Linked DNA regions of Caenorhabditis elegans. The protein of the gene in region 1 interacts with the protein of each later gene in a pairwise test. Each region holds a gene or a part of one and is shown on either strand. Other genes may lie near its edges. The genes, in order: him-10, C32D5.11, etr-1 and smgl-1.

Region 1 (7,926 bases):
TTCGCTTCTATTGGCTTACTGAAACCTGAGACCTAATTATCTATTAGATGACAAATTGTGTAAAAGCTTTATCAAATTGTTCAATCAAGTATATTTTTCAGGTATGGTTCCAAAACCGTCGTGCAAAATGGCGAAAAACCGAGAAAACCTGGGGAAAAAGTACCATAATGGCAGAATATGGGCTATATGGAGCAATGGTACGGCATTCTCTTCCACTTCCGGAAACAATTACAAAGTCAGCTGAGGCGGCGGATCCACAACAAAGTGCTGCTCCGTGGTTGTTAGGTATGTGAAGATGTGACTTTGCATGTGATAGTTGCGTTAATCAGCTTGTTTATGAGGAAGAGGGGAGAATGAGTCAGAAAAAGAGTTTAATTTTGTGATAAACAAATGAAATTAGAAAAGATCATGAAATTGGACTTTTGGTAGAACAAAATTAGTCTATCTAAAACTTTCAACTGGGATAATTCCGGATAACAACCGGGAACAAACAAAAAATGGTATTAAGATGTTTTAATTATAAATTACAAACCAAACTTCAGGGTAGCTTGAAACTTTTAGAAAATGAATTGTTATTTTTGTGTTCTTAGTAAAACTTGAAAAAAAAACGTGCAAAACTCCTAACAAAAACTAAATTTTTTGAAGGTGCACCATGATAGGTATTAAAATTGGAGAAATTACGACAGTGACACCACAATATTGCACCACTAATTACCCTGAACCACCTGCTCTGACCCATTTCATTCCCATATGATACATTGTTTTCAGGAATGCACAAGAAAAGTATGGAAGCTGCGGCTCACTTGGAGAGTGTTGAAAAATGTGATATGTCGGATAGTGATGATGATGACCGTCCGGTAACTCCTCCAGTGCAACGTCAAGTGAAAAACGAGTACAAACCACGAATAATTGAGCATGTTCAACAACAAGCTCCCCAACATCAGTCATCATTGAATTTCGATACTTCACTTGTTGTCAGTTCCTCACTTTCACAATTACATTTTCAGGATTCTCAAATGATTCCGAACAATAATGCTTCATTGAAGCTTTATCATGATTACAATAATCCCATGTAACTCTATTTTTCCGTGAATTTCAATGTCAATAACTATTACCTAAATAATAAATTAATCTGCTAATAACAACAATAATAATGAGCGGTCAGGAAACAACCACTTCTTTCTTTTTTCTTTTTAATCGCCGTTTGTCAAGTACTTATTTGAAGATTTTGCGGGAAAAGAAGACGTACCTCGTGTAGCATGTCCTGTTCTTCCCGCTCTTCCCACCATCTGACGGTAATTTAGAGAAGTGAGAGCCGATGGGCCACGTGGCTGAGCCTTGATGAGTACTCGTTCCGCAGGGAGATTTACGCCTGGAATTCTATTTTTTTATTTGGAAAAGAAGGTTTTAAACTTTTGAAAATGTAAAGTTTGAAAAATTATAATAGTTTTAATCTTAATATATCGACGAATTTGAACCTTTTATCTTATTTCATCAATAAGAAAAAAGAAAACAAAAATTTAATATTCTTCAGCTAAAAAGGGCCAAAATTGTATGCTATTATTCGAAAAATCGACATTTTGGAATCTCGAAAAAAAAACCGAAAAATTTTCGCTTTTCGATTTAAAAAAAAGGGAAGAGCGGGATTAGCAAACAACTGGAAATTCTTGAGTGAATAGTATTTTTTGAAAGTTTAAAGTAAATTTTTATCAACAAATCTTCACCCTAAATGAAAATTATTGTTTGATTTAATTTTTTCCCCAAAAATATTTCAACAAACATTTTGCTTTTAATTTCTTCCGATATTTCGGTTGACCACAATTAAAATTTTAAAACACTCACCTGAAGCCAAAGTACTTGTAGCCACAAGAATAACAATATTTTTCTCCCGAAATCCTAGTTCAATGCATTCTCTTTCCTCCATCGTCAATCCAGCATGATGATATGCTACTCCCCATGCAAGTGTTGACATAACATTCCGATCCTTGCAACCATTCCGTTCCAATCCATGCTTTATAAATAATAGTCCATTGGCTCGTTCTTTTAATATTTCCAACAATGAGCTGTCGGTTTTATTGATCTCATGGAATCTCGACGCAATATTCAAAGCAGTCTTCTCGGCATCAAGTTTCGAAGAAATCATTACCAAAGTCTGAGAATTGCGGCGAAAACTCTCTTCGGTAAGCAATATTAATGGATCTTCAGAGAATTCTCTTAGAACTTTGTTATCTCCAGATTTCCTCAACTCCGAACCAATTACAATATGATTTTGTAGAACAATTGGTCGAAATCTTGCTTCGAAAACTTTCGCACCGTCCAGCCATTTGCCTATTCGATAAAGTTCTGGAATAGTTGCACTCATTCCGATAATTCTAACTTTTTCCAGTGCAGATTGGTTCCAGAGCAAAACTTTCGAGAGCATGTGCTCAATGTGTGCACCACGAGACGAATCGAAAACCATGTGCATTTCATCAACGACTATCATTCCTGAAAGCTACTTTTTGTGAAAATTTTAAATTAAAATCGATTTATCTAACCAATTTCCTCAAACCAATCTTCTGATAATGCTCGATTTGTCAAACTTGCTGCTTTTTCGATGGTACAAACTGCCCCAAGCCACTCATTTGGATTTGAGGCCTGTGGACCAATGAAGCCACAGACAGAAATGTCATCTCGTCTCCAACACCGTTGAATTTGATGAAGTTTCTCTCGAGCCACGGAGATATAAGGAAGTACGAAGAGTACCTTTCTACCAGTTGAAGCGACTTTCCATGCTGAAAATTACAGTTTTTAAACATTTATTCTTTAAACCAGATAAAATAATACATAAAAGTTCAGCTACAATGCTTTTCCCAGCACTTGTTGGCGCACTGAATATCAAGTGTTGATCTTCAAATTGTCTTGCCTCATTCAACACATCAATCTGCCAATCGAACAGCGCTTTGATGTTCTGAAATTAAAAAAATTTTGTCCCTATTTCATCACAGCGATTTATGTTACCTGCTCTGCGTAATAATCGATGATTTTTGAAGAAACCCATTCTGGAAATCTACAGGAAGCCTCGTCCATCTTGTTTCATACTAAAAACTCTGATTTCAGACTGAAAAACATGTTTTTTTCAGCGAAGAAAACTAAAATTTGTTTGTGGCCGCGGTGGCCTAGTTTTCACGGCCGAGAAATGTCACATGTTTTGGCGCGCTCTTCGGCGAATTCAAATAAACTTTTTTGTTTTTAACAATTTCTAACTTTATTTTTGTGTTTTTAGAACTGAAATTCCATTTTTCAGGAGAAATGTCAAACGTTGTACTAATTGTGTATGATCCGCGGATGATTTCAAAGTATCTTGGTCAAAAATTGCATATGGGCCTTGTCGCCGATGACATTATCAAGCCAACCGTAAGTTTGAACAGAATATTGAATTCATCAGCACAAATAACCCGATTTCAGGCAGAAATAGCGCAACAAATATTTGCTAATTTTGTGAGGCTTGTGTTAAATGTGTCGGAAAGCTCGCTGACGACCCTTCCGCTGTCCGCCAACTGTGATTATGATCCAGAATTGCATAAAAAGAGCATTCCTATCATTATTCTCTTCCAATGCATGTAAGATTTTAATTTTAATGTTAGATTTGCTGAAATATTTTTTCAGGAAAGCATTTATCAAAGATAATTCTGGCAACAAGCTGGACTTGACGATGTGCGATCTCGTGACACCTGCAAAACACGAACATCGATTCAGAAAGCTGACAAGTTTTCTTGTAGATTTTCTGAAACTTCACGAATTGGCCACTCCAGCGTTCAATGAAATTAGCGAAGAGTTCAGTGATCGAAAGTTCGAAATGGAAAAGATTCGGGAAGAGTTGTTAGAAGCCGAGAAGAAGAAAAATGATCTTCTCGCGAAACAAAGCATAAGAAAACGTCATGAGCATGAATTAATCAACGAACAGAGCAATGCGAAGGCAGAACTTAAAAATGTTGTGAACGAATATACCGAAACTCGTCAAATTAATGAAGAACTCGACAAGCAGAAAGAAGAAGCTATTCTGCACATTCAAGCCCTCGAAAAGGAAATGCTAACTGGTAAAAAGACAATTGAGCATTTGAATGAAGAAGTTCTGACATCGCCGGAACAGCTGAAACAAGAAATGGAGGAAAGGAAACGTCACATTGAAGAGCTCCGCGATTGTCTTGAATCATCAAAGTACTGATATATCTTCAGTCTCTCCAAAAATTCAAAATAAAAGTAATTATTTTCAGAAAAGGCCTTCAAGCAAAACTCGAGGCTCGTGAAATTTGCATCAACTCGGAGAAGAACGTGCCAGTGATTATTGAGAAGATCCATCAGTGGACTGAAGTTCGAGAAGTTATCATTGACCTGATCGATGTTGAAAGTGAGAATCTTCGAAAGCTCAAGGAAATGGAGGAGCAATTGGATTTTATGATGAAGGAGATGGAAACGGCACAAAAGCGACTCGTCGAGCAGTCGGAGACTCATGAACAATTGCGTATAGAACACACGCAGAAAAGTGAAGAGCGTCAGCGTAGAATTGAGGAGATTACCGAGTGAGGAATTTATTTGATACTTTGAAAACATTTTTTTAAACGATGTAAATCTTTCAGGCAAATCGCAAATTTGAAAACTAGTCAGCCAGATGTGTCACAGGAAATTGCTAAAAAGGTTTTTGTCAGATCAATCTTCATAAAACTCACCAACATTTTTTTCAGAAGCAAGAACTCCTCGCTCTAAAAAACGCACACAGTGAGACGATTTCCCAAATCACCAACTCTTGCCAAGATGCTGTTGCAAAATTCGCAAAACTTAATGCAATGTTCAAAGAAACCCAGAAAGTAGCTTTTGAGAAGAACACTGCAGCTGCACGTGAAATGGAACGTCTAAAAAGCTCTCTTACCGGACGCCTTCTGAGTGATTACACATTCGGATCATCGACAATCGACGCCGGAGAGAACACGGAAAATTGTGATCCACAACCTAACGATTCGAGTTTTTCCGTTTTCAAATAGAATGACTCAACTCGAAAATTTCACTTCATTTGATCTCTATTCAATGTAAATGTTATGCTTTCTTCCATACCAATAACAAAATTTTAACTGAGTCTAAATAAATCATGTGGTCTTTATTTTCAAATGTTTTCTTTTCATTCCCAGGCTCTAGAAATTTCACACCAATTTACTTTTCAGGTAAGAATTCACTCAAGTGGTATTTACGGGGAGATTATGTGCCTCTGTTTTTAATTAAAAATAAAATTAGAAATTTTGAATTTTTTGCCTTGTATTTTTTTGTTTGCGTCTTTAAGACTACAGTAAGACAAAAAGTGGGCGTGGTTTCTTATTTTGGAGAAAGCTCAAACAGGGAATAAGTGAGAGTCGGAAGTTTTGAAACGTTTTTTGAAAAAAAAATTATCTTGAAATGAAAACTTTTCCAGAAATTTTAAACTTCTCTTCGCTCATTAGCTCTACAAGTTGGAATTGTCCTTCTGAATTGAATATTATCCTACCAAAATTCTAAATAAATTTAAATAAATCGTGCGGGCCTCGAGTTATTGCATTCAACATTGACATTTTTCGTTCATTTCTCAATTTTTGTATTGTATTTCTGAAAAATTCACTCTACAAATTATGCAGTAAGCTTTTTCAAATAATGTTCTTTTCAGATTTTATAATTTTCAGACCATTAGACCTTTCGGGTAAGAGATTAGTTCGACCAGATGATTCAAATGGTACAAGATCTTCCACTGATGATGTACATTCGATGTGCTCTCAGGTGAGCATTCATAGTACATGATGATGTTTTAGTTTTATATATGTAAAAGAAACGCTCTTTGAAGTTAATTGCTTTCCATGTGTATAAACTAATCATAAACTAAACTGCAAGAAATTAAAATAAAATTATATTTAAAAGCTCTCAAATCTGGGACCCCGATCTCTTCCAAATGCTCGTTCCCTTGGTAGCTCAACATCTTCAATTCTTCTGCTTCATAAAACTTACAAGGAAACATCGGCCCCGCCTCCAAATCAAGTCGCATTCAAATCAGTCATCTTGGCAAATACCCAACTTGTGACGGAATTCCTTCAAAACGGAGAGCTTCCAACTTTCAAAAAACAAAGCTCGCGGAGCACCAACAATCCCTGGAGACGATACGGTGCTCTACGCAAGATTTGTGAAACCGGAGGTTTCGCTCCGAATAGTGGATCAAAGAAGGAGAGGAAGAATCGAGAGACTTTAATGGCGGTTAAGGTAATATCTCGTGGATCCTGTCACCATTCAAGTGGATAATCTGAATCATTAATTTTTATTCTATTCCAGCAAAATGTCAAAGTCCCAATTGCACCAACATCTGCTCAAATGACATTGAACAAAGTTAAGGATCCGGGACCGTAGTAAGTTTTTAAAAAATCTAGATTTTTTGGAATTAATTTTTGAAATGGTTAGGCTTCCAAAGTATGGTGCTACCTCTGGCCTACCTACAGCCTATTTTTTCTGCTTTGACGCAAACTCCGATGTTTGGAAGAAGTTTGTTTGGCCGATTTCTAATACTAGTGAGAAGAAAAAACTCCACTTTTTGGGTGTAAATAAAAATTATTAATACTTTTAATCCAACTTTAAGATTAATTCCAAATATATATCCTAATAGTAAGATATCTTACCCATTTCCTCTTACCTTTTTGATCAAATATTTGAAAAGACTTCTCATATTGTTACCCAATCAAAAAAACATTTCAGTGAGAATAAGCTGGCTCTGAAAGTTCCGAAGAATACGACAGTCGATGTGGCGGCTCAAAATCTTGCCGAGCAAGTGAAGGTGAATAACCTAGAAGAAAAATCGATAGAAATGTCCTGTCTCTTTTTCTTTTCACTCTCTCATTTCCAGATATTCATTCTTCAATATGGTGTTGAATTGGTGGATAATGAACCGGAGATCAATCAAGGCGTTAAATCGAAATGAAATATTGAAATTTGATTATTTGAATAAAGTTGAAGAGCAACGAAACTTGTTAGATTTTTTAATAAAATGTCGGCCATCAGCCACAGCCGGCCACCCAGCAGCCGTCGTCTCCTTTTATTGACTTGACCATCTCTTTTCCACCCTCCTGTTTCTTCATACTATTCTCTGACTTTTTATTAATTAAAATATTTAATGGATCTACTAGATCTATACCATGCTCATGATTTGCAACTTGCATCTGAAGGAAATTTTGAGGAAGTGCATTTTACGAAAAGAGCAGAAGAAGATGGAAATTCAAGTCCTGAGAGTAAAGGAAAAATAAAAAAGACGAGAATTGTACCATGGGAACCATATAAGGCGGCTGTCGCACATGATAAGTGAGTTTTCGTTCGGTCAAAATTATTATTATTAAATCTTAAGATAATAATGAATTTTGGTACTTGTGTATTTGTTGTGTATTATTTCCCTTCATTTTTAAAAATACATTTTTAAATATAAACGTACCTGAATTTTCACATTAAAAAAGTACAAATTTCTAGAGTTCCGAAAACTTTATACTTCACATAAATTACGATCCTCTTTGCAATTAACCTAATACATTTTTCTAAAAATTTCCGATTCCCAAAAAAATTCCAGCTTGAACACGAAAATGATAATAAAAAAAATACTAGGAAAATTAAGATTTTTTACAAGTTATTAAAAAAAATAAGAGAATCCAAACAAATGTTTCTTCTCGACAAGAAATCACATTCAGGCAAGGTTCCACGTGTCCAGAGAATCTTCCCGAACTGATAGCATATGCAATGAATTCAAAATCAGAACAGAATAATAATATACAATTACGAAAGGAATTGAGAGACGAGAGAAAAGATAGAAAAAGCATGGAACCGGTGACTTCGTCCGAACGAGAAGCTGAGTTGGAACGAGAATTGGATCTTCTAAGAAAAGAGTTAAATATTGAA
Region 2 (8,652 bases), on another chromosome or scaffold:
ATAGGATTCGTGAGAATCCTAAGCCTACACACTTAATTGAAGAATGGGGTCGCTGCTTATCTTAAACTGAAATCTGAATCTCCGTAAACGAACCTCTTCAGCCTGTTTTGCACCTCCTTTATCCTCCTCTTCCTTTTCCACTTTTCTTCCAATTCACTCACTTATTTCCAGTTGCACTTGTTCTAAAACCTGTCCAATTTACAACTTTTTATCACTTAATAAGACAACTAATCTATCATTTTAACTTCAGAACAATGTATACCGTCGCCGTGACCGGTGGTGCTGGTCTTGTTGGACGTTATGTTGTTCAGAGATTACTAGAAAATGAACAAATCGCAGAAATTCGGATTATAGATCGGCAGAGCACTTCCAGAGGTAAGTCTACTTGATTTCCATTTTTTTAAAATTATCTAAATCTGTCCGCTTTCAGATGAAAGCAGAAAAGTCAAGCTTTATCAAATTGATCTTAATGATAGAAAATCATTGGAAAATGCATTGAGAGGATGTGATGGTGTAATTCATTGTGCTCATTCACCATTTCCAATTTTTTATTCAAAAGATAAAGAACAGAATAATCTGATGTGGAGAGACAATTTAAATGGTAAGGTTCTCTCTTTTTCATCCTTATACAAAGTACAGAAACAAATTACTTTTTTCGTGTACAGTTTTTTCGCTACTTGGATTTCCAAGAAAACTTGTAACTTGTAACATCTAAAAAGTTTGCTATTTTAATTACTTTCACTGAGTAAATCCAAAATTCTATGACAGTAGAAGTGAATAATATATCACCTCTTTTACTACCGAAAAAATTAAAAAAGCCGCTGTGGTCAAGTGGCTAAAAATTTTGCCATTCACGTAAACGTTCGCTGGTTCAATCCCTGCGGTGATAAAATATTTTTTCAAGTTCTTTATTGACAATTATTGTAATTCTAAAAAACAATATTCCGAACTCCATAAATTTATAACTTGCTTTTTCTCCAAATGAGATTTCACATTTTCGCCTTTTCCTAAATCTATCCACCATTTGAACTTGAAATTTCGAAAAAAAAAAGGTTACACTGTAAGAAGCACATTCCAATTGTCAATAGACAAGCAACTAAATACACATCTTGTTGAAAACTTGACCATTCTGCGTCATTTCATTCTCTGAAACAAGAAATTGAACGATTCGAACGGAATTGGATATTAAAAGATGCAATACCATAGCTTTTAGTAGCTCTTTTGGAATCAGAAAAGAACTAGAAACATAGATGAACTATGGGATTTATAAAATTTTGTAAAATTTTGTTCCAAATAGAAATAAATCTACAGTAAATTCTCCAAAGTCTCCTTTTTTTCTAAAAATATCCAAAAATGTTGTTTGTTCCAAAAGAGAAACCCATTAGAACATCTGAATAAAACGTATTTTTCTAATTTTTATGTAAACAGAAATCATTCAAATACAGTGATCATTGATGAAATGAAGTTTATTTGAAAGATTATAGTGGTGAAAATAAACTTTTAAGTGTACAAAAATATTTTGAAACTTGGTAATGAATGAAAATATGATTTCCTACTAATTTTCTATCTTTTGAAATTGAACTTTCAGCTTTGAATACACCTGAAAAATATTTACAAAGGTGTGAGGATGAATTTTTTGTAGAATTTTCGAAGTTTTTGAAATTTTCAGAAAAACTTGGTGATCTGTATTAAAAAACTTCAAATAATTGTTTCTCTTTTTGTAGCCTGTGAGAGTGTAGTCGACACAATGACCAATCTGAACATCAAGACCCTGGTTAATATCGGATGTGCTTATTGCCCAATTCCAAATGAAGATAACTATGGATTGGCGCAAGACGTGTTTCTGTAAGTGTCAATTTGTAACATTAATATGTGAAATTGACTGATATTCTAGTGATTATCCAAGAAATTACATGCTGGATGAGTATGGAGAATCTCGTACTCGAGGAGAAATGTATGCGAGAAAGGCCGCAAAAAAGGGATCTTTCAATGGAATTTTCTTGAGACCAACATTTGTTTATGGTCTTGGAAAAAGCAAAAAGATTGACACAATCAAAGAATTAATTTTGAATTCTGCTCTACCATTTGTAACTGGAGAACGACGAGGAATGCATCAATTTGTAAGTTTTAGAGAGCTTCTATTTATTTGTGATATGTTCTACTTTGTCGGTTATGTATCATAAAATCCTTTCTCAGATATATGCTGGAAACCTAGCTGCAATCGCTGAAAAATCATTTTTCGGATTAATTTACAATTCGAAAAGATTGAATGGAGAAATTGTGTTCTGTATGGATGAGAACTGTGCTCATTCAATCAGAGATGTAAGTTGATAGAAAACAAATTCAACTTTTATTTTTTTTAACTTCCAGTTTTTCGAAAGTCGTTTTCTTAATCCAAATTACTGTCAAGAAGTAGCTGTCAGTTATTGGCCATCATTTGCCACTTCGTACTTAAACTATTGGAAGAATATGCTTGGATTCAAGGTACACTCTCAATTTACAGATAAACCAATATTTTTAATTTTTCTGAGTTTTTAGATCCCAGAAAACATTCTAAATCACGTTGCATTCCGTTTGTTCTTTGAGAAAACTGTTGGATTTCCTAATAAGAAACTGCGCCTGTTATTGAATTCTAAACCGGAAATCTCACAAGAAGAGGCATTCAAATTGTACGCGAACTCCAAAGCTTCGTATTCGAAGGAGGCAGTAAAGAGACCAACTGTGCAAGGATAATTCCAATTAATCCTAATAAACTTGAAGTTCAATCTGTTGAATCAGTTTCATTGTGCTTTATTAAAAATAATACTTTGCAAGTTATCAAATAAAAATTGTTGAAGTTTTGTCGTGTCGAGACCCAGTACCGTATTTGGCGTGTCAAAAATCGCGAAATTTCGCCTATGGGGATACGATAATCTAAATTTTAAATTCAAAATAGATGTATGATATAGGAAAATATTCCATCAATGTCTTTATTTTATTTATTTTGTTTGTATTTATAAATAATATATTTATTTCGAATGCTCGTCTGTTTCATGATATTGTCCTCGTGTTGTTCACGGCCGAAGTTTTTCACAATTGTCAATAGAGCGTTTTTGAAAACTCGTCCGCAACGATTTGAAACAAAATTTGTACAAAACTTTGTTGTACAAAATTCTGTACAGAATTTTGGCTCATTGTTTTCAATATTAACAAATCTTTGTTTTATTCTGCTTCTTTCTTTCTTCGGGGCTTACCAATTTATTAATTTAACTTTTGATTAATGAATAATCATTGTTTTTATTTCACACAAGTCTTCGAATATTTTGCTAATTTTAAAATATGAGAAATTTAATGGCAAAAAAGTTATGTTCATCGCTGACTGCGATCGGACCTGCGAGAAACCTGCTGACGCATTTCTCGATGCCAACGCCTCGCTTCTTCCCTCGCTCTCTCGTTTTTCTCTAGTTTCTGGGAATTCGTTCATGTGGTTTGATATATCGACTTTTTTGGCTTTAATTTCAACAATGTCAATACGAATTTATCAATCTGCAAGTGATATTTCATACCACGGAAGCATGCTATCGTATCTTTTCTGAAATTAATAGCCAAATCTCGAAACACGTTAATATTATCGTTCTAGAAGTGAAATCCGACGACATTTTTATTTTTTAAGCGATAGCTTGCTATGATTCATCATTTAAGTCATAGTGGAAAATCGATATCAGTATTTTCGGGTCGTCCTTGCCTCATTTCTGAAAAGAAAGTCATACTGCTCATTATTGATTTTTCTACTATAATGAGTGATAATAATAAAAGAAAAATTCTTTCAGAAAAACTATGGGGGACAGTGGTGTGGAACCTGTCATACCATCTCCATCAACAAGTTCAAACAACCCGGTTGAAGAATTGCAGTGCACAATCTGTTTATCTACGAGGTTGGATATAAATTCAAACAAACAACTAATTGTTAAAATTAAGATTCTCTCAAGAATGTCGCATCGAAGGATGCAATCACTCGTTTTGTTTTTCCTGCATTTCTGAATGGGTCTGCCAATCTCTACGCCCTTCATGCCCAATGTGTCGCAAGGATGTCGATAAAGTGTCGTATGATTTTTCAGAGCAAAAACTAGGACAAAAAGAGTTAGAACTTTTATTTTATTTATATTTACGATAATTTTCTGTTTCAGGATTGCAATCAAAGAATATCGAAGCGGGCATATGTCACTTACGCCTACAGATCGAGTTCAACTTCTCAGCGAAAGGAGACTAGTTGTCAGAAATTTAATGCATTCCTACAAGGTTGTAGGCTTGTTATCATCAGAAATGTGAGTTTGCTTGGCTTTTCCAACAAAACGTTCTATATTTCAGAAGCGGTATCGAAGAATCGAAGGAACCAGATGAAATCTTGAAGGTAAAAATTAGCACGCTATATAAACAGACTAAATATTTATTTCCAGAATGCATTGATTGAGTTAGCCGCTATCGTAACACAGCATATTCAAAAGGCAGAGATATCACTATCGGATCTTAGGACGGAGCAGGCTCGAATCAACAAGTATCAGTTTAATTGAATGAATATATTACCAAAAAAAGATTTCAGGTCAATTGTTTTCAATACGGTTACGTTTCGTCGAATGGTTTACACAAGCAAAGTCAAAGTAATGTATCCTGATTTGAAGAAAGTTAAAATCAAGCCATCTGATATTGCCAGAGAACCGGATCGTTTTAGAAATGTTATCACGAATTTTTTGATAGCTGAGTTCGACGCTATACCTTTCCAAAATGTAAGAAAATTTATTGAACTTTCTTGAAATTTTTAGAATTTTTCAGCAACCAAAACTTGCCGGCCACAAATGGAGAACAAAGTTTCTAGGTTCCTGCATCGATATGCAGCAAAAACAGCGCTATGCCGCTCAAATTTACGAGCTTATGCTGAGTCGTCCATCGGGTGATCATTTATTCCGGGTACGTCTACAGGAAATTTAATTTAAAACTGCTAGTTTTCAGAGAGAACTCAATGAAATTCTAACGCCTGTTAGTGCAGTTCATATTCAATTTTTGGACGATCATTTGGATGCAATTATTGCAATTGAAAAGTTAACAATCGAAGAATTCTACAACGAAGTTTACTATGATTCTATATACAATAGTTTCTCGAGTAACTTCTTTGATTATAACTCTATGGGACGTGATGATCCTCAAAGCCGATTCGAAGCACTCTTCAATCAAATTCATCGTGATATCGGAAGTACAAATGATTGGATGGATACTTATGTGGCAGGACGTCTTCTTCGTCAATCTTCAAATACTGATGGAACGGACCGTGCCACGAATAACGATGATGATAGTGATCGTTCTGAGTCGCCAGAAGAAAGAGTTCCAACGCCAATGCCTGACGAAGATCCACGTGAACAATCGTTGGCACGAGCATACTACGAACAAATGCTGGAAATGCCAAATCGGGTACCGCTGTCAATGAGAGCCTACCACATGATGCGTGATCGAGATGTTCGTGTTCGATATCCAACTACAGAAGAACCGGTTCCAGTTGAGCCTGTAACATTTGGACAAACTACTAGAACTTTACCTATTTCACAGCAACCGACAACTTCTCGCAGTCATATGACGCTGAGATCTGCAATGAGACGTTTAGATTCCGATCGTCCGACAGACGAAGAGATTCCGCCGATTGAGAGTCGGCCCCAGACACGCCGCGAAATCGAAAGAGATCGACTTCTACAAAGAGTTCGGGAATTTGATAATCGATCACGAGGGCTTTCGGTGAGTATTATTGAGAATTTATAAAGAAGTGAATGTATTTAATTTAATAGTAAGTAAAACTTGAAGATTTTCTATATTTCAGAGTCTCTTCCGTCACCCTGCATCGTCGGATTATACAAGTCGACGATTCACTTCTGATGGTTATTCTGGATTGGTTGGTTTAAAAAATATATAAACATAAAATATCATCAAAATTGTTTCAGGTTATGCTCTCGCCACGGTTAAATTCAACCACTACATCATCTACGAGTATACCTGTTTATCAGCCGCGAACTATGACGAGTAATGATTTCGCGCATTTAAACCGAACCAGAAGCATTTTGGAGAGAAGACATTTCCCACAGCCACCACGGGAGCAAAGAATCGAAGAAGTGGAACAACTTTTCAACAGAGCTTACCAAAATATGCAGCAAACTCATCAAGCAATTCAAGAACATGCTAGCACAAGCAATGCACCGACACAAATTCCTCGTCCAGCAACTCCAGCACCCGCTATATCTGACGAAGAATCTCGATCACTTGCGGAAATTGTTGCAACCATAAATCAGGAGGATGCTGATAATGGACTTGACTTTATTTCGGTTGCTCATCGAACAAGATCCGCAAGAAGAGGTAAATTTCTAACTTTAAATTGTTTTTTACCGAAATTTGATTTTTCAGCAGCCGAAAACGGGCATCCACCCGAGGGACCACCAGCCAAAAGATCAACAAACTCTCGTCGTGATAGACGTTAATATCCAAGAAATACGCTCATTTAAAAAAATAATCTTGTTCGAGTTTCTTAAACATTATATCTGTATGGATAAATGTACACTCGCTTCTTAAACAACCCGTTTCCTTCACTGTTTAGTTGTACCTTGTGACATGTACATTCAAATGTTACTCAACCCCCGTTTTTTTTCATTCTATGTGTTCTGCTTTTTTCAAAAACTTTATTAAAATATTTAATGAAATGTTAAAATAATATTTTGAGCGAATCAGTTTGTGAAAACTGTTTTATAGACAGGTTTTTGGTATTTTCTGTGTGTTTTTTTATTATTTATGTTTTATTGAGAAAGATGTTTTGTTTGAGAGCAACGAATCTAATAATAACAAAACTTACTATAAGCTAGAAAATTCCAAAAGATGCACCCAACTATTTTTTTTTCCAATTTTTCATAATAATCTATTTGTGAGTGTTTTCTCTGTATCCGGTTTCTGTTCTTTCCATTTTTTAAGGGAAATTTCCTTATAAAAATTCAAATATCTCAAAACTATGCTTGTGCGCTCCAATGAGATCTATTTGATTGCTTCCATCTTTATCAACATTTTAGGCTTTTTTATTTTACTTCGACTACCTTCTTTCTTTGATATTAATTTTAATTTATTAATTTAATTTTTAAAAGAGAAACTGAAATTTCAAACCAGAATATGGGAAAAATTAGTTAGAGTTTTCAAACTTGAAAATTTTGCGCAAACTGAAAAATATTTGTGAGAAACTAAAAAATTTCCGATAGTTTATTTTTTAGAGGAATATTTCAAATCTCAAAAGAATTGAAAAGCTCAATGGATTCTCCGAGCACAAGTGAATCACCACTGAAAAAGAATACAATTCAGGATTTTGGAGAAAGTAACATGACAGAAAGTCCCCAGTCTAAAGAAGAAATCGACGAACCGGAAGAGGAGTGTTCGGTATGCAAAAATGAGTAAGTTCATTCAATAGTATTAATTAAAAATTGATTTATTTCAGAATTATCGATACAACCTCGTTGAGTGATTGTTGCCATGAATTTTGCTACGATTGCATTGTAGGCTGGCTCACGAAGGGATCCGGTCCTTTCTGTCCAATGTGCAAAACACCAGTTAGCTTCATCCAACGGAAAGGAACCGATGAGAAAATAACCGTCCAGCAAATAAAATCCGAAGGAGAGCCAGCAGCGACTGCTTCAGAAGATCTTGTGACTGAGAAGAGAATTGTGTCGAGAAAAATTCGAAGTTGTCGAAGGCTAATGAACCAAATTGACGAGATCATGTAAGAGTTTTCGATGAGTAATATACAAATTGTATTTGAACATTCTTTTAGTGGAGCAACATCAAGTAGATCTGATAGTCAAAAAAGGAAGCCACGATTAGAAGAGTTGAACTCGATGAAACAACTGTGTGTCTCACAATTGAACTCCCTGCAAATGCTCCGAGACGACATTGATCATGGAGCAGCAAAAGCATTAATTGTCTCAAAAGCCGCATTCCGAAGATTGATCTATGAGCGTCAAGTTATATCAGAAGGATTGCCAGATGCAACTAATTCTCTGTCGAAAACTGAATTCCGTGATAATATCGATCACTATCGAGCAGTTTTACACAGTTTCTTGAGCGTCGAGTTGAAATCCCTTCCGGCGAAGACGGTAACGTTTCCCATTAAAACATAAAAGTGTTCTAATGAAAAGTATTTCAGCAACCACGTGTCGACAATGAAAATAGCTGGTATTTTTATACACTTCATGATGTGGCCGAGGGAAAAGACGAAGAGATTATCAATAGAATATTCAGTATGATTGAAGATCGTGGAACGCGTGATCTTAATGCGGTAGTTCAAAAACAAATTTACCATAAGTTTGAAATGTTTCAGAGAGAAGTTGATGCAGCATTGAATGGGCTTGTATCATGTCGGGTTGTAATTGCATTTATTGCTGAGCTGAAGTCTTTGATTAACAGTCGAAAGTCATTTTTGGAGTGGTGCGGTGCCATAACATATCGAATCAGAACAGATCGCGGAGGTGAAAGTGCTGGAAATGGTAGAATCATATTTGTACTTAATTTCAAAAAATCGTATCTTCCAGATGTTGTGACGGTCGACGATTCAATTGAGCTTGAACCCGAAGAAAATAGATCAAACCACAGGTCGCGCCGATT
Region 3 (8,262 bases), on another chromosome or scaffold:
TCTATGAAAATATATAAAGAAAACGAAAAAGTTTCAAAAAAATAGACACAGTTTTAAATCTTTCGTCTTTCTAAACATTTCCGGCAAATCCGGCAAATTGCCGGAATTGAAAATTTCCGGCAAATCGGCAACCCGGCAAATTGCCGGAATTGAAAATTTTCGGCAAATTTCCAGAATTGAAAATTTCCGGCAAATCGGCAAACCGGCAATTTGCCGAATTTGTTGGCAAAAAAATTGCCAAACGGAAATTTTTTTGGAACATATGTATTAATGTTTTTTTTAGTATAAATTATATTCGGTCACTCCTACATTTTACCAAATTAAAAATTATTCAAATTATCACAAGCTTTGCAACGAAAGGCGTCTGATTAAGCGACTATAACACCTGACGGGTTGTGCAAGCATCTTACCACCGTCTCGATGCATCATCATTCATTTTCTTCATCTTTCCTCCTCCGTTGTCTTCTCTCTATCGATTCGATTGGAAAAAAGAGGGGAGTATCTTCAGATGTCTACCTTCTCTCCGTCTTACATAGTGCCTAGATGACTATCTAAACTGTCTGCCACCCTCCTGAACATCTTTTCGTCTCCTTTTCTTCCCATCGTCACTGTTTTCTTTTCTTTCAGCGGGAGGTGTTTTATACAATTTGTATATTCTTGTCGTTGTCCTTGCAAGTTTGTTTTTTGTTGGTTTCGCTAGACTAGGTTCACTTTCGTTGAATACTACAGTAACCAGTGGCTGGCTCCGAGAGCAAACACTGTGCGGTAATTGGCTCCCCGTTTCTTGAGCAAACAAACCGTAATCTGCTCGGATATTTTGCTGAGAAAATTCACAATTTTCCAAAAATTCCATCCATTCTCACATTGTCAGCTTGGAAAAAAAGGTTCCCATTTATTTTTATGCCCTCCATTCCATTCGCCTCTTCCTCTTTCGACGGGACGGGGAACGTACCCATGAATTAGATGAGCCCCCGTCACACACGGCTCGCCTTTAGCCAATTCTCCGTTCCTCTTTCATTTTCGCGACTGACACATCCTCTCATTCAATAGTTCACATTTTTTGGAAGCTTTTTGGTTTTTTTTTCCGAGCCAGAAAGTTTGATAATTTGGCAATTGATGGCAAAATTTGAATTACATTAGAACATCTGAATAGTTGCAACATGGATATTTTTGTTAACCGTCTTACTAGGAAATTATCGAAACTGGCACTCATTTTACCCGAAAACCTGAAAATTTCGAGAAAATCGGATGTATGTCGGTTTTGGAATCTCTCCAGAATATCAATATATAAGAAAATACCAACTTACAAATTTTTTACGAACAAAAACATCAGTTTGAATTCTTTCGACTAATCGTTCTTGAAGATTGTATACAAAAACGTTTGAAATAAATGCTCTTTTTTCATTTTTGTTCAATAATTTTTTTTTCTGACAGTTTAAAAAAATATATTCCGATTCTGAATAGATGCGGGTAGTAAATGTCAACGTATATTCCACTTTCCCGAGATTCAGCCTTAGATTTATAGATTTTTGAACAGCTGCCAATCTTAGATTTCAAAAGATATTCGTTTTAGGACAAATAGCCAATGAATTCGAAAATCCTGAAATCATTCAGAACTACAGTAGACCAGCATTGTTTATTACAATCAGATGTGCTAAACATTTCGTATATCCTACAACTCTCATTATACTTCATTCTTATTCCGGAAGGCGTCAGTTTAACCGAGCATATGTTCGCCAGATGTTTTTAGTTCTGATGATCTGTAAGGTTGTTTTACACCACCCACCCAGGTGTTCGTAGATCAGGATACTTCGAGGCCAAAGCTTCCAAAAACGGAATCGGCGAGGATTAAATTAGGTTCCAAACCCTCGGGGCCAATGGTTTTCCAGGAAAAGCGGCATCTGGAAAATTACATACTGCGGGAAGTGTGAGAAAGTGACAACGGAAAACATATGTGCCGCACAAAGTCACACGGCAAGAAAGATTACATTTTCCCAATTCTCTAGTCATTTGACTAGATTCTTGCCTCTGAATTTTAGAGTCTGAAGCTTCTATATCCGAACAAACAACACTCCTAGGAACTTACCGTATCCTCTAGAATGTTTCAGGCTTTATGGCCACCTGTCGTATGTCACCTTCATTACCTTCTTTAAAGGGATAATCGTGTCGAGACCCTGACCCCCGTCCTGGCTGTCGTATCGTATCGTGTTGTGTGTGTTAATGATGTCGATTTACGCTTCACAAAAAAAAGATTTGTTCATTTTTTGCATTGAATGATTCTCATCATCACTGTGAAATGAAACGACCCGTCTCCCCTCATCGGGACAAAAAGACATAGAGAATAAGACGTGGAGATTGACAAATGGTCAGTTCAACACAATTAGCTATCCCCCTGCCGTCGTCTTCTTTCAATCTTCTCTCGTTGCACGGACCAGCAGTGATGGTGTACACTAAAAGAGATCTAAAGAAAATGCTCTCGGGAGCCTTTGGAGCTGTGATGCTCTCTGTGCTATTACACACGGTAGCTCGTGAGCATCCATCCTGAAGGAGCAGCTGTCTTCACTAAGTCTTCTAGGCTATCTTTACAACAACGGTGTTCTTTTGGTTCCGCCCTTTCTTTTCGGATAGACGAAGTATTTTCAACGTGTGTTTTGCTTTAGAGTGAAACCTTTTCAAAATTTCTCATTAGGCAGATTACCCTAAGAACTTACAACGAAATTTGCGTACATTTTTCAAATAAAACATGCCAATTTCTGGAGCCTGGAGGTAAGCTGGCTTCCATTTCATGTTAGAGAAAATGACTTCAGACATATATATTTATTTTCTTGTCATTCTTTTCTCCCTGCCAATCTTCAGGCTACTCCATTTATAATCGGTTTTCTTCCGGCTCCCCGTTGTTGCCTTTGCTAGGGGAAAATAAGAAAAACGAGATGACTGACATTATGAAAGACTGAACGTTTTGTCGGTTTTGGATCCAGAATGTATTAGCCGTCTGATACGCTGCAGCATAATTCGTGACACAGTTTCTGAGAATATTCTAAATTTAGAAGGGGAAAATCTTAGAATCCAGAACTGACCGAATCGTTGGAGAACATATAAATACGTTGCAGACAACTGTTTTATTTGTGTTCAACAAATACATAGAAGACGTCCCTTTGCTGGAATATATTTTTGTTCTTCTCTGTTTGTATTGTTACTGCCCCGCGCGCCGCAAAAAGCAGCAGCAGTCGGGTGGCGATAGTCTCTGAGAACAGTTCAAATTGAGGTGATCCCCGCCCCATTCATCAATATATTTCTTCCACATTTGAACTGATTAATGTCAGAAAAGAGTGAATGATTTGATAAGAATCTCTTCTCTGGCCAGAACTTTACACACACGGTCCTTGCGCGCACGCAGTACTGATAAACTCGGCTGATAACACAACATTTTTTCTCCCCCGTCCTTCTTCTCGTCTTCCAAATGTCTTAATCACCGTTAATACCGTCCTTCTCGGCGCGGTATCAGAGAGGCAAGAGGCAGACAAAGAGGTATTTCATCGATAATAGTACTGTTTTAGTTGTTCTCGCTTTCTATTTCGATTTTTAAGTATACAGCTCTAATAATGTTTCCCTCGGAAAAATATATCAGTTTTGGAAATCTATATCTATAATGGCTCTTGAAACGTATAAACATATTAGATCTAAAATGACCGATTACGGCATGTTGTTCCAAAATTGTTAATTTAAAACTCGTTCTGAAATGAAGTAGTTGTTGATCTGAAAATATAATAAGGATTTTTCCATATTTTGGCACTAACTTTTAATAAAAAAATGTTATGTAGAATTGGCAAAAGTATTTGACGATCTCTCTTCTCTTTCAATATACGGCTTATATTTCACAATATTTTTACAACCTATAAAGCAATATTATTATCGATAAAATACCTTTCGCTTTGATAATTACCTTGCTTCAAAGTTATTGCTTTTTATGCGTATAGTTGATTTTTCTATAGTTTTGACCATGAAACTGCTAGATTCGTGCATTTCCATTGCTTTTAACACTCTTTGTTAATTTCATCATTTTCATACTTTAAAAAAAAATTTCTCCATTTCAGACACATCTCCTCACACCACCATAATCTCAACCTTCCGAAATTCATCCTTCCATGATATGAGCGGAGCTGTGCTACCAGCAGTTCTAGTGGTACCAAAAATGGAGTCAGTAGTCGTTCCGATTGCGGAGTCCACCGTCATTAATGCCAAGGACACAACACCATCCACGGCAGCGGACAACGACGTGTCACCGTCCCCATCGGAGCCAGACACAGATGCGATCAAGATGTTCGTCGGCCAGGTAATCATACTTTCTCAAACTTTTATTCGAAAAGTGGGCATAATTGGCTCACCCCAATCTCCCAATTCGATTCAATTTCATGTATACATGCACACAATGAGACTCCCCCCGCTCATCCATTTACTGAGACACTTCACTACTACTACACAAATTTGATAAAACTGAATAACGAGGAGACGGGGTATTGGATTTGTGTCTATTTGGGTTCGACCCCCTTATTTTTTCATACGCGTTCATTACCATATAAATGATGAGGGAGGTTTTCTCGACTCAAGGGCATTCTCAAATTGATGAAGACGGACAATGATCATCAATTTTTTAGAGTAATGATGATAGAGAAAAGTAGGGCAACAACAAAAAGGGGAAAGATATGGACTTTTGCGGAGAGTAGGGTTTAAATTAACACAGTTGTATGTGTATTGAATTTTTGTGAAAAAGAATGAATCAAATATCCACATGACATGTGGCTTTTTATGGGAATTTCATAGCTCTCTCGAACAATAATAAATCGTGGGAATAATATTGCAAGTCATATTTCATATTTTTTTTGTCATTTCAAACACGTAGCCAACATCTATATTTTTCGTGATTTTCCCAAAGATAGAAATCATATTATTCTGAAAGTTTAAAGGTGGAGTACCGAAATCTGAGACTTTGATTTTTTAGAACCAAAATAGCCCAAAACTACCGAATTTCGTTCGTAATAAGACGTTTTGAAAATTTCTCAAAAAAAAGTTATTTAGCTGGAAATGACCTTTTTTGCAGAACTTTGAACCGCCATAACTCTGTTTTTGAGAAAATTTCAAAACGTCTCATTACGAAATTTGATAGTTTTTGGTCATTTTGGGTTTGAAAAAGCAAAGTTTCAGATTTCGGTACCCCACCTTTAAATTACATCAATTTTCAACAAATAATGGGGTTTTTCAAATAGTGTCGCGAAATATCACGAAATTTATTGAAATAAAATTAGACTGTATTTCAATACATTTCGCGACACTACTTGAATAATTCCATAAATCAATTATTTTAATAGAAAAATGACATTTTAAAATTCAAACTCAACGCAATACAAATTTTGCAGATCCCTCGCCAGTGGAACGAGACAGACTGTCGGCGATTATTCGAGAAGTACGGATCAGTGTTCTCGTGTAACATACTCCGTGACAAATCGACACAAGCTAGCAAAGGCTGCTGCTTTGTCACATTTTATCACAGAAAAGACGCGATAGAGGCTCAAGGAGCCCTTCACAATATAAAGGTTATTGAAGGAATGCATCATCCGGTACAAATGAAACCAGCTGATACTGAGAACCGAAATGGTAATTTACTGATAAATATAAAATAGTATAAAAATTACAAGAAATAATTTATTTCAGAACGAAAACTTTTCATCGGCCAGCTCAGCAAGAAGCACAACGAGGAGAATCTGCGTGAGATTTTTGCCAAATTCGGCCATATTGAAGATTGTAGTGTGCTTCGTGATCAGGACGGAAAAAGTCGAGGTAAGTGGGGGAAGGGCGCATTAAGTAGGGTATCTTTTTCAAAAAAGTGTAAAAATATTTACCTGTCTCTATGCTCTTTTTTACTATTTTCTCTATGTTTTCATCATTTTCTGTGTCATGCATGTTGAGCGAAAAGGTGGGAAGAAGAAGAAGATTCCGAAATTCGAAATTGAGCTGATTTACACGTGGCAAAATGGTCTTGATACGATTGTCACAGGGTTTAGAACATTTTCTAACAAAGTTGGTAAATTTGGATGTATGACTTTAAACCCAACATTTTGAAATTTTTGGCTAGTACCCTCAAAAAAATGCGTGGTGTGTATCAGGAGTGTGCGGCAAATTTTTGCCGGTTGCCGGTTGCCGATTTACCAGATATGTTCAATTCCAGCAATTTGCGGTTTGCCGATTTGCCGGAAATTTTTAATTCCGGCAATTTGCCGACTTTCCTGAAATTTTCATTTCTGGAAATTTGCCGATTTGCCGGAAAAATCGTTTGCCGCCCACCCCTGATTTGACCTTTTGAGTTTTGAACTACAGTAACCCAAAAGGTGGACATTTTTGGCTAGAAGTTAGAAAATTATAAAAAGCTGTGAATTTGAAGAGCAATGTTTCGGAAAAAGTTAGTATACCTAGCTTTAACGAAACTTTCAATTTTCCGGTATTTTTAAAATAAATTTTTAAAAAATTGAAAATCAAAAATATGTTGATCCTAATGAGAGTCAAAAATAGAAGTTATTTAAAATTGGATTTTTTTCAGAAATTTTTATCCAATTTTCCGATTATTCAATTATCTTGATAAATCCTCGATTATCGATATTCGATGCCGATATTCGATCGATATTGAACAAAGTTAAACTTTCGAAAACTAAATATGTCAAAATTTTTGGGTTACTGTAGCTTCAAAAGCTAATATAAACCGACTACAGTACCCCAACGTTTTTGAAAAATTTCGACTAAAAAATTAAAAAAAAAAAAATCATAATTTTCAGACCAAATTGCCACGTGTGAATTACAAAAAAAACAAATTTCTGTTCTACAAAATCAAAGTAACGTCCTGATTTTTTTTTCGAAAAAAATGAAAGTTTCATTTTCTTGCCCTGGTATTCTATGTAAAAGTAACAAGTGAGTGTCGAAATAAAAGTTTGAAGTCTGAAATTGGCTTCACACAACATATACCCAATGTCGATGATTCCTCTATCTCTAAATGTTAATCAATATTTTCATATTTGTTTTTTCTCCAACAGGATGTGCATTTGTAACGTTCACAAACCGCAGCTGTGCCGTCGTCGCCACCAAAGAAATGCATCACTCGCAAACGATGGAGGTTCGCATATAGCTTTTTGTCTCTTTTTTATATTTATTTTTATATGTTTCTTGTATGTATGGGAACCCTTCTGCTGTAAACTCTAAATTTAATTTAAAATCTCTGAAAATTGTCAAAGTTAAACGGAAAAGTGTGTTTTACCAATTCTATTCATTAAGGATAGTGTAGTCAAGATGTTAGTGTCTTTAAAATTGCTTTATTAGACTCAAAATTGTCTGAAAACTTTTTCGAGAACTTTTCGAGAATTTTCATTTTTAAATTCGGTGTGTTCAGACAATTTTGAGACTAATAAAGCAATAAAAATTCGTCACGAGAAAATATTAACTACTATAGTTATTATGAAATTAAAAATAAAAATAAATTGCATTTTTCCTGAAGTTTAAAAGGTAATGTCAAAATTTAAAGCAGTTTCACTAATTTTCTTATGAATGTGGTTTCCATGTTGAGTGTTGAATTTTCAAAGTCATATATTTTCCCATGCTTTATTTACAAATTTAGATTATATGTTTAGAAACGTAGTTTTTTCCTTCATCATTATTCAAAAATTACAATTTTTATAGGTTCTTTCTATAGAATTCTAATTTTTAAATCAAATATTGCAGGGATGCTCAGCGCCGCTTGTTGTAAAGTTCGCTGACACTCAAAAAGACAAAGACGTGAAGACGAAATCAATGATCACTGGAAGTGGAGCCGGTTCACCGAAAGGAGGCGCGGCAAGCTTGCTTCAAAACTTGAATCCGGCGCTGTTGCAGCAGGTAAAATATTATAAAACATCAATATTTTGTTCCTAAACCAAATCAAAAGTTTCAGCTCGGCGGTGGACAAAACTATCAAGCAGTAGCCTCACTTTTGTCTCTTATCAACGGACAACAGGGACAACAACAGCAGCACCAACAGCAACAAAATGTTTTAGGAATTTTGGGAACAGGTAAACTTAGTTGATAATCATTAAAAAATTGTACACGTAGTTCAATAAAATATAATAAAACTGAAAAAAACCCACGGTCGCAATATCCGATTCAGTGCTCTCTGCGCTCGGCAAGCTAACCGAAGGCGGTGACGACGCGTCGGCAAAGTCCTCATCGGAAAAGCCACGCCACCAA
Region 4 (8,290 bases), on another chromosome or scaffold:
CCGATGGTAGAGTGGTGCTGTCAATATACACTGTTTAGTGATGAAACTAGCGCGCTATTTGATTGCGATCACCTCTTTTCACATAGTTTCGTCAATCTTGTCATTTATTGATTCAAGATTGTTTTGATCAGTTATAATTGTCCGTTTTGCAGGCTGACAAGGCAAAATCTTCTGCTGAATCTGATAACGAGAACTTCCGTGCCGAGCTGTCCAACATAGCATCGGCTCGTCTGGAGGCGGAAAAGAAGCGGAAAGCGGCCGAGACGTCGTTGATGGAGAAGGATCATAAGATGCGTGAAATGCAGTCAAATCTTGATGATCTTATGGCTAAGTTATCGAAGGTATGAAAGCACGACATAGAGAAAGTTTCTTGACATGATTATTGTTTGCAGATGAACAACGAGCTTGAAAGCATTCAAAAAGCAAAGAGTGCTGACGAAACTCTGAATTCTAACCTTCTCAAGAAGAATGCTTCACTCGACATGCAGTTGTCTGAGCTTACTGAAGCTTCTGAGGAAGATCGTCGAACTAGAGCCACGTTAAACAATAAAATTCGTCAGCTCGAAGAAGATCTTGCGGTTGCTGTTGAAGCCAGAGATGACGCACTTGACGCACAAGAAAAGATCGAAAAAGAGGTCAAAGAAGTCAAATCTCTGTTGGCCGAGGCTAGAAAGAAGTTGGATGAGGAAAATAGAGAGGTGATGGAAGAATTGCGGAAGAAGAAGGAGAAGGAGTTGTCAGCCGAGAAAGAGCGGGCCGACATGGCTGAACAAGCAAGAGATAAGGCTGAACGGGCCAAGAAGAAGGCTATCCAGGAGGCTGAGGACGTGCAAAAAGAGTTGACTGATGTGGTGGCCGCAACTAGAGAGATGGAGAGAAAAATGAGGAAGTTTGATCAACAGCTCGCCGAGGAGAGAAACAACACTTTGCTCGCTCAGCAAGAAAGAGATATGGCTCATCAAATGCTACGTGATGCAGAGACGAAGGCTCTGGTGTTGTCAAATGAATTATCCGAGAAAAAGGATATTGTGGATCAGTTAGAAAAGGACAAACGGACTCTCAAACTAGAGATTGACAATTTGGTAAGAAATTTATCATCGTATCATCGTATTTCAATGATAATTTATAGGCCTCCACCAAGGATGATGCTGGAAAGAATGTTTACGAGTTGGAGAAGACGAAACGTCGCCTTGATGAAGAGTTGAGTCGTGCGGAACAACAAATCATTGAACTAGAAGATGCTCTCCAACTTGCTGATGATGCTAGAAGCAGAGTTGAAGTCAACATGCAAGCAATGAGATCCGAGTTCGAACGTCAATTAGCCTCTCGCGAAGAAGATGAGGATGATCGTAAGAAGGGACTCACTTCTAAAATCCGAAATCTTACCGAAGAGCTTGAATCTGAACAACGTGCTCGTCAAGCTGCAATTGCCAACAAGAAGAAGATCGAATCTCAAATCAGCGAGTTGACTGAAAAGAACGAAGCTTCTTTGAGACAAATCGAAGATCTTTCGCGTCAGCTTCGCAAAGCCCAACTGGGATGGAAAGATCTCCAGCTGGATGTTACAGAAGCTCGTGCTGCCATGGAAGATGCTCTTGCTGGACAAAGAGACGCAGAGAAGAGAGCTCGGGCTTCGGAGGATGAGATCAAGAGACTCACCGCCGATATTCAAGCTGTCAGCTCTTCAAAACGTAAAGCAGAAGCTGAGCGCGATGAACTCATTGAAGAAGTTTCTAGTCTTCGCGCTTCCTCATTCAGTAATGAGGAGAAGAGACGTCTTGAAGCAAAGGTAATTGATTTGGAAGACCAACTCGACGAGGAGGCTTCGGCAAATGAATTGGCACAAGAGAAGGTTCGCAAGTCACAACAGCAACTAGAACAAATGACAGCTGATCTTGCAATGGAAAGAAGTGTTTGTGAGAGAACAGAATCAGATAAAATTGCATTGGAACGTGCGAATCGTGATTTGAAGCAACAACTTCAAGATGCTGAAAGTAAGCTTGTGATGAGATTGTTTCGTATGTTAATATAATTTTATAGATACCGCTGTGGCTCGTCTTCGTACACAAATCAACGTTGCGGAAGCCAAAGTTTCCAGTCTTGAGCAACAGCTTTCATTGGAAGAGCAGGATAAGATGCGTCAAGGCAGAACCCTGCGACGAATGGAAACGAAAATGGCAGAGATGCAGCAAATGCTCGAGGAAGAGAAGAGACAAGGTGAAAGTAATCGTCAGGCTGTTGATCGTCAGAATGCTAGAATCCGTCAACTTCGTACACAGTTGGAAGATACTGAGGCAGAGCGAGACCGTTTGACAAACAAGTTGAAGGACGAGCGGAGAAGAGCTGAAGAGATGACTGATCTCAATGAGACACTCTCCAGAGATGTTTCTTTATTGAAACAGCGTGAAACGACAGCTCGTAGAACACCTGGATTGATTGGACATCGTGAATCGAGAAGATTTGGAAGCAACACCAGCCTTGCACGAGGTATTTTGTTAAAATTTGTTATGAAATTTAAACATTTATAATTTCAGATGAATTCCGTGGATCAGCTCTCACAAACGAAATGTCACCATCTGACCGTCCAGCTTCTCGTCTCACATCTGGAACCGGATCCCAACTTGGCAACACCGATGAAGACCGCGACTCAGTTCGCAACTAACCTCTAAAGTTTTTAATTCCGGATTATTTTTTTGTTTAATTTACTGACCTGATTGTATCCAAACGTTCCCAATTCTTATCCATTCCCCTATGTTTTTAGACCATGATTGTCCCCTTGATCAACATTTCCCTGCACAATCTGCTTTAATAGTATTCGCCGTGTTATAAATTTGCACAATATCGCATGTCACGTCGTTCTTCTCGTTTCATGTCTATCACCATCATCACCTCAGCTTCAATATGTATTTTTATCATTTACCGCTTCCCGGTAGAACATTTTTCGTACGGATAGTGTCCCAAATAATGCCCCAACATTGCTTCCCATTCCCCAGGCACTATCCGGTTGTCCCAAGTTTAAATTATTATCGAGTTGAAGATGACAAATAAAAACGAAATTTGTGTTTTCGAGTAAATTGAAGACGCTCATTTTACTGCAAACAACCGCTATCAAAATTAATGAACGAAATGCTATATTTAAATGTCAGTTTTGCATTATTGAATATCTGTGTGAAAAGTTAAATACCTGAAATGCAAGTTAAAGATTTTGACTTTCACTTTTGTATTTAATGTAACAAATTGACATGTCCGCAATTTGACGTGAAAGTGTTTGCACTTGGTCTACGTTGTCGATTTACGCAGACGTCCAACACCTAGGCGGGTACCTCTTTAACTTTTTGTTCAGTTTTCCTGATATTAATCCTCATAAACTCTTTAAAATAACAAATTTTTACAGAATGGCGCATATGAGAGGAACAAATCATGAAAAGGAGAAGCACGATGATGAAAATTCAAAAATATTATTGAAAGAACGGTATTTTGTGATTTATGGCGAAATTTTATAATTTTCTGAACGTTTTCCAGATATAATCTTCTCAAATGGTTAACCAATGTGGAAATGCGTAGTCCAAATGTTTTAATTCCAGTGCAAATTGCGAATTATGTGGAATCTCTGCCTTTCTGTAAATTAGCTGTTTCGCCGTATGGATTGGGATAGAAAAACGGATATAAATCCTTTTTTTCAGAAAATGTGATCGAGTAGCGGTAATGAGCTATGCCCGTCAACTGGATATTTATCAAATAAGCGGAGAAATTCTGACTCATGAATCAAGTGTTCAAGTTCTTGAAGAAACATCTCCAGAATACTGTATACTTCAATTTTCCTCATCAAGTACTCTGATATTATCATCCAGAAGTACACCGCATATTGATGTATTTGATAGTATGGGTGCATATCTCTATGATATTCCTCTAGAACTGCATGAGGGAATATTCGATGTAAATTCGGCTATTTGTGGAATGCAAACATTTGAAAATTATTCAAGTTCTTCGAATGATAAATTCATCGAAATTCTCTACGTATTGCAATATTCTGGAGTGTTTTCAGCTTTCAAAATTGGGTAATTATTTCTATATATCAAATCAGTAATTTTATTAATTTTTTTTCATACAGCACCTGCATTGTTTAGTCGTTTTACTTGTGTTTTCTGTGGATGTAGGCATATTTTCAATTCTATCTACTGGACGTAGAATTAAAAATGTTTGAGTAGTTTATTAAATAAGTATCGTTATGAATTGGATTTAATTTAATTTATTGCGCTCTCTTGGATACGAAAAGCGCGAAGGAAATTCGCTATTTTCGGACCATTTCAAGTCCTTTAGAGCAAGAAAAATTCCCGCTACTTGAGTACATTCAACTTTTGAAAAAATTATATATTCGAAAATTTACAAAAATTGACTATTGATATTTTCTTTTCAAACAAAAATTTCAATAATTTTCTTTCAGAAGACTATCAAAATACGTGAAAATGTGGACTGTTCAACTGGATATTGGACAAACAGGATCATTTACAGTATTACCACAATATAATCTTCTGCTAGTTGCATCTCATCACAAAGAATCAACATCATTAGTTCCACCAGCTGGTTTATGCTCATTTCGAATGATGGATATGGATCCATTTGTTGAACCAATCAGAATATCAACTCCTGATGGTGGATTCTTTTCACGTCTTCCATTCTCTACATCATTCATGTCATATCTTCCGAGAATGTCCTTGTCATTTGATTCTCAATTACTTGTATCTGTATCTACTTCTGGATCATTGTATCTATTCGAAATTCCATCTCTTCACGTTAAATTCTCTTTTAATTTCATTAGTGGACCTCGTCCTGTGGACGCATGTTTTGTTGATAGTGATGTAAGTTTCTGGTACCATTTTCAAATAATTATTGATTTATTTTACAGGAAATTGCAGTAATCTACGATAATGGATATCTCCTCAGATGTTCATTGGAAGATTTGGAAGAGAAAATGTATTCAGTGAAAATGAGATCAAAAAAAGAAATTGACGAGGAACCAGAACTCAAGGACTTTTATAGTGAACAAACAGTTATGGTATCACCTGCACAACGTGAAATATTCTTGCTCACTGCTGACGGTGACAACTCTTTTCTTCGTAAAGCAGCTCATAAACGTGTTCAACTTGCTGGTCAATTGTGGTTCTACACAGTTTGGAACTCGCTGAAAAAGCTCGTTGGAATGGCGATGGGTGAGCCCGCTGAGCAACTTCATTTTGAGACTCATATAGCGAAATTCGAATTTTCGTTGATACACTCTCCAACTAGGACTTTGCAAGAATTGTTCGATAGAACAGTAAGTATGAAAAAAAACGTAAAGTAATTGAAATTTAATTGAAAACGCAAAAAGCGCTGTTTAAAAAAAAATATATATAATACAAATTTCAAGATTTTTTTAAATTCCAAGTTGTGTTATTTCAGCTGAAGGAACATGATTACACGAGAGCAAGAGAGCTAGCAGAAACCTACGATACAATTGATATATATGTTGTTCTTAAATCGGAATGGATTGATAAATGCTCCAAAAACAAAGTGACAGTTGAAGATGTTGAAGATATTCTAAAACGAATCGGAGATTCTGAATGGGCTGCTGAACAGTGTGCAAGTGCAGATTCAGATGACTTTGAAGTTCACAAGGCACTTATTGATCTCGGTTTATCACTGGGAGAGTCTAGTGTGACATGGCAAATCCGGTTACTTCATCACTGGAGAATGTTGGAAGTTTGTAGAATCAAAGGAGACGTTGATATTTATATGATGGCTAGAAATGGAAGTTGTTTGGATGCGGCATTGACATTTGCACATGTACGTTTATACAGAAAGAGTGAGAATTTAAATATAAATTAATCGGGTAAAATATGAAAATATATATATATAATTTTCTTATAGCCAAAATAGGTCAAATCAGATTTTCTGGCCAATTTCTGAAATTATGATAGTGCAAACTTGCGTAATTGACATTTTTGGCTGTAAAAATCTAAAAGTTTTGAAAATATTTTCAGTGATAATTTGCTAAATAATATAATTTAAATAAAAAGGAAATAATTAATTTTTCAGAACGGAGACATTGATTCGTTGACACGAATAATTGAATCAAACATGGCAGTTATGAAGCATCATCAGAAACGTATTCTCTCAGCAATTCCAACATGTACTTCACCTACAAAATATGAGATTCTGATGCCAAAACGAGAAGACGGAGAAACAGAGGAACAATGGGAACTTGAAGAACAAAATGATGGAATTTATGAACGATTGGATAAAATTTTAATGGAACATCCTGATGCTGAATCTTTAATTAGAAGTATAAATGTTGGAAATATTCCGAATGAAGAAACATTTGATTTCACTTCATGGGTAAGAGAAACTCTACCGAAGATTGATTTTGAATGTGGAATGACTGATATTTGTGTTAATTTACTTCAAATAGCATATGAAAGAGGATATGAAGATCTCATTCATGATCTCGCGACGTGGCAACCATACGCACAATATATTCGAATTTGTTCGTCTGTCAGCGAAAGCATAACTTCGTTTCAAGATTCCACGATGAAGTCATTTACGGATCGGTTTTCGAGACTTCTAGATTCGGAGCTTATCAAAAATGCAAAAGACATTGTTTCATTGATCGAATGGAAAATAAAAATGACATCCAGTGATAGTGAAGAAAGTATAGAAGATCGATTACGTGATGCAGTGACAACATTGATGAAAGCTACAAATGAACGAACGACGAAAGTATTAGTGGCATTTAGGAATGAACTTCCGAGTGTAGTGGATGATCATGTAATTCTAGAAGTTCTTCTTAACATGACATCAACTGGCGCTGATCTTATGAAATCTCTTGGTGATCTTCCAGTTGATAAATATGTGAACGTCACTTCTTCGTTAGGATCATTGATGTCCAGGGGTGTCAAAATGACTTTCAAGTCGATTTTCGAAAGCATGAAAGAACCGTAAGACCTTTTATTTATTTGAAAACTATACTCACTTCTAATTTTCAGTGATGGTGCAAGAAGAGTCCTTATCAAACTATCCCGATCTGGAAATTGTTCTAATTTTGATGACTGGATGTCACTACGAGATGATATTTATGATATGGCCAATGGGTACATTTCTAAGGTTTTAACACTCTAATTTAATTATTTTTAGAATTTATGAAGATTTGGTGACCACAGAGGAGGCTCTGGAAATATTTGCAGGAGAGATCCTAGAGGAAGAGCGAATTGGAAGTCATCCCGAACTCATGGAACTTGTGCTAACACTGAATCCGAAAGAAGACAATAGTAATCCTAGAAAGCTGAGTATTGCTAAAAGCGCAGATGTTCTTCTTTCGAAAAGTGACGAGTTGATGAATGAAGCTACTCAGAGAGGTGATCCTCTTCTTGGTAGATCGAGATTCTTCGCAGTCGCTGCAAGGCCGATATCGCCGAAAAAGTCGAAAGAAAAGCTGGATTGGTTGGATGCAATTGATGCAGCTCTTGAACTCGGATGCACCATGATGCCTATTGCAATCAAGTAAGATTCGGAAGTTTTAATGAGGAATGAAGATTTTCCTTCAAAATAATTAAAATAGTCTTAAACTCAGAAATGCCAGAAAAAATAGAAAAAGAACAGCCCAAAAAGACTTACAACAGAGAATGAATTTTCAGATTTTGCGAGCATGACTCTCTTCTACGAGATGTTGTCGGACTGGGATCAAACTACAAACAAGGAAAGAAGATTCTAAGCTTCGCAAAACAACTCAACATTGACACACCAATAGCCACTGCTCTTTCATATTGTGCTCTTGCTGCACTCAATGCAAATGATGCCGTCTATCTGAGCAAGTACATTGGAGAAGTTATGAAAGCAAAAGGAGTTCCAGTTGTCCACAAGCTTTGTATGCAAATTATGAACTCATCCCATGTTCCAACTGATATGGAGGATGTCTATTCATGTGCTGTTCTGAATTCGAGTGAGGAAAATCTATTGGATACTGTTGATGCAATTGCATCAAGTGAAAAACGATTGAGTGAATCACGACGATGTCGAGAAATTCGATTAGATGATATTCCAGTGTCTGAAGCTGTGGTTGGAGATCCAATGTACACACCAATGAGGCTCTATAACGCAAGAAAGGAGATTAGTGGTGACGTGAAACAAAAAATAACTTTTTATGGGAAACGAAATTTATGGGAAACGAATTATGGGAAACGAGAAGGATTTGATGTTATGAAACGGCTGTATGCACATGAGTCGTCTACAGTCGCCCTATGCTTCTCTCTGTTCG

The links.
Region 2: the proteins of him-10 (region 1) and C32D5.11 interact in a two-hybrid assay, tested with the Caenorhabditis elegans proteins (one large-scale study listed by BioGRID).
Region 3: the proteins of him-10 (region 1) and etr-1 interact in a two-hybrid assay, tested with the Caenorhabditis elegans proteins (one large-scale study listed by BioGRID).
Region 4: the proteins of him-10 (region 1) and smgl-1 interact in a two-hybrid assay, tested with the Caenorhabditis elegans proteins (one large-scale study listed by BioGRID).

What each region holds. Positions count from the first base shown.
Region 1 is NC_003281.10:5,799,974-5,807,899, forward strand, and holds him-10 (Kinetochore protein Nuf2 homolog), read left to right. Parts: upstream 1-3,286; 5' UTR 3,287-3,291; coding exon 3,292-3,396; intron 3,397-3,447; coding exon 3,448-3,602; intron 3,603-3,648; coding exon 3,649-4,200; intron 4,201-4,256; coding exon 4,257-4,562; intron 4,563-4,619; coding exon 4,620-4,677; intron 4,678-4,724; coding exon 4,725-5,021; 3' UTR 5,022-5,139; downstream 5,140-7,926. Other genes in the region: polq-1 (DNA polymerase theta), read right to left, coding at 1,250-1,372, 1,843-2,487, 2,538-2,774, 2,827-2,950, 3,001-3,069; Homeobox protein ceh-10, read left to right, coding at 102-285, 769-1,076; R12B2.3 (Ras-associating domain-containing protein), read left to right, coding at 5,637-5,641, 5,688-5,781, 5,920-6,255, 6,325-6,398, 6,742-6,820, 6,890-6,964; R12B2.2 (Golgin-45), read left to right, coding at 7,157-7,341, 7,719-7,926. UniProt on the Caenorhabditis elegans protein: Acts as a component of the essential kinetochore-associated NDC80 complex, which is required for chromosome segregation in mitosis and meiosis and spindle checkpoint activity.
Region 2 is NC_003280.10:6,350,604-6,359,255, reverse strand, and holds C32D5.11 (RING-type domain-containing protein), read left to right. Parts: upstream 1-3,809; 5' UTR 3,810-3,816; coding exon 3,817-3,914; intron 3,915-3,957; coding exon 3,958-4,119; intron 4,120-4,166; coding exon 4,167-4,304; intron 4,305-4,347; coding exon 4,348-4,390; intron 4,391-4,436; coding exon 4,437-4,534; intron 4,535-4,579; coding exon 4,580-4,763; intron 4,764-4,809; coding exon 4,810-4,944; intron 4,945-4,986; coding exon 4,987-5,760; intron 5,761-5,842; coding exon 5,843-5,914; intron 5,915-5,963; coding exon 5,964-6,372; intron 6,373-6,420; coding exon 6,421-6,494; 3' UTR 6,495-6,726; downstream 6,727-8,652. Other genes in the region: C32D5.12 (3-beta hydroxysteroid dehydrogenase/isomerase domain-containing protein), read left to right, coding at 255-375, 431-601, 1,725-1,845, 1,895-2,120, 2,197-2,322, 2,371-2,484, 2,539-2,733; putative RING finger protein C32D5.10, read left to right, coding at 7,306-7,445, 7,490-7,771, 7,823-8,144, 8,195-8,326, 8,369-8,534, 8,580-8,652.
Region 3 is NC_003280.10:158,992-167,253, forward strand, and holds the start of etr-1 (RRM domain-containing protein), read left to right. Parts: upstream 1-4,109; 5' UTR 4,110-4,150; coding exon 4,151-4,333; intron 4,334-5,414; coding exon 5,415-5,652; intron 5,653-5,709; coding exon 5,710-5,835; intron 5,836-7,079; coding exon 7,080-7,159; intron 7,160-7,761; coding exon 7,762-7,914; intron 7,915-7,969; coding exon 7,970-8,087; intron 8,088-8,182; coding exon of another isoform or gene 8,183-8,262.
Region 4 is NC_003279.8:7,921,443-7,929,732, reverse strand, and holds the start of smgl-1 (Neuroblastoma-amplified sequence), read left to right. Parts: upstream 1-3,394; 5' UTR 3,395-3,395; coding exon 3,396-3,472; intron 3,473-3,522; coding exon 3,523-3,639; intron 3,640-3,683; coding exon 3,684-4,058; intron 4,059-4,444; coding exon 4,445-4,859; intron 4,860-4,906; coding exon 4,907-5,314; intron 5,315-5,439; coding exon 5,440-5,823; intron 5,824-6,075; coding exon 6,076-6,974; intron 6,975-7,022; coding exon 7,023-7,127; intron 7,128-7,170; coding exon 7,171-7,536; intron 7,537-7,670; coding exon 7,671-8,290. Other genes in the region: nmy-2 (Myosin-11), read left to right, coding at 153-341, 393-1,082, 1,130-1,994, 2,041-2,487, 2,535-2,662.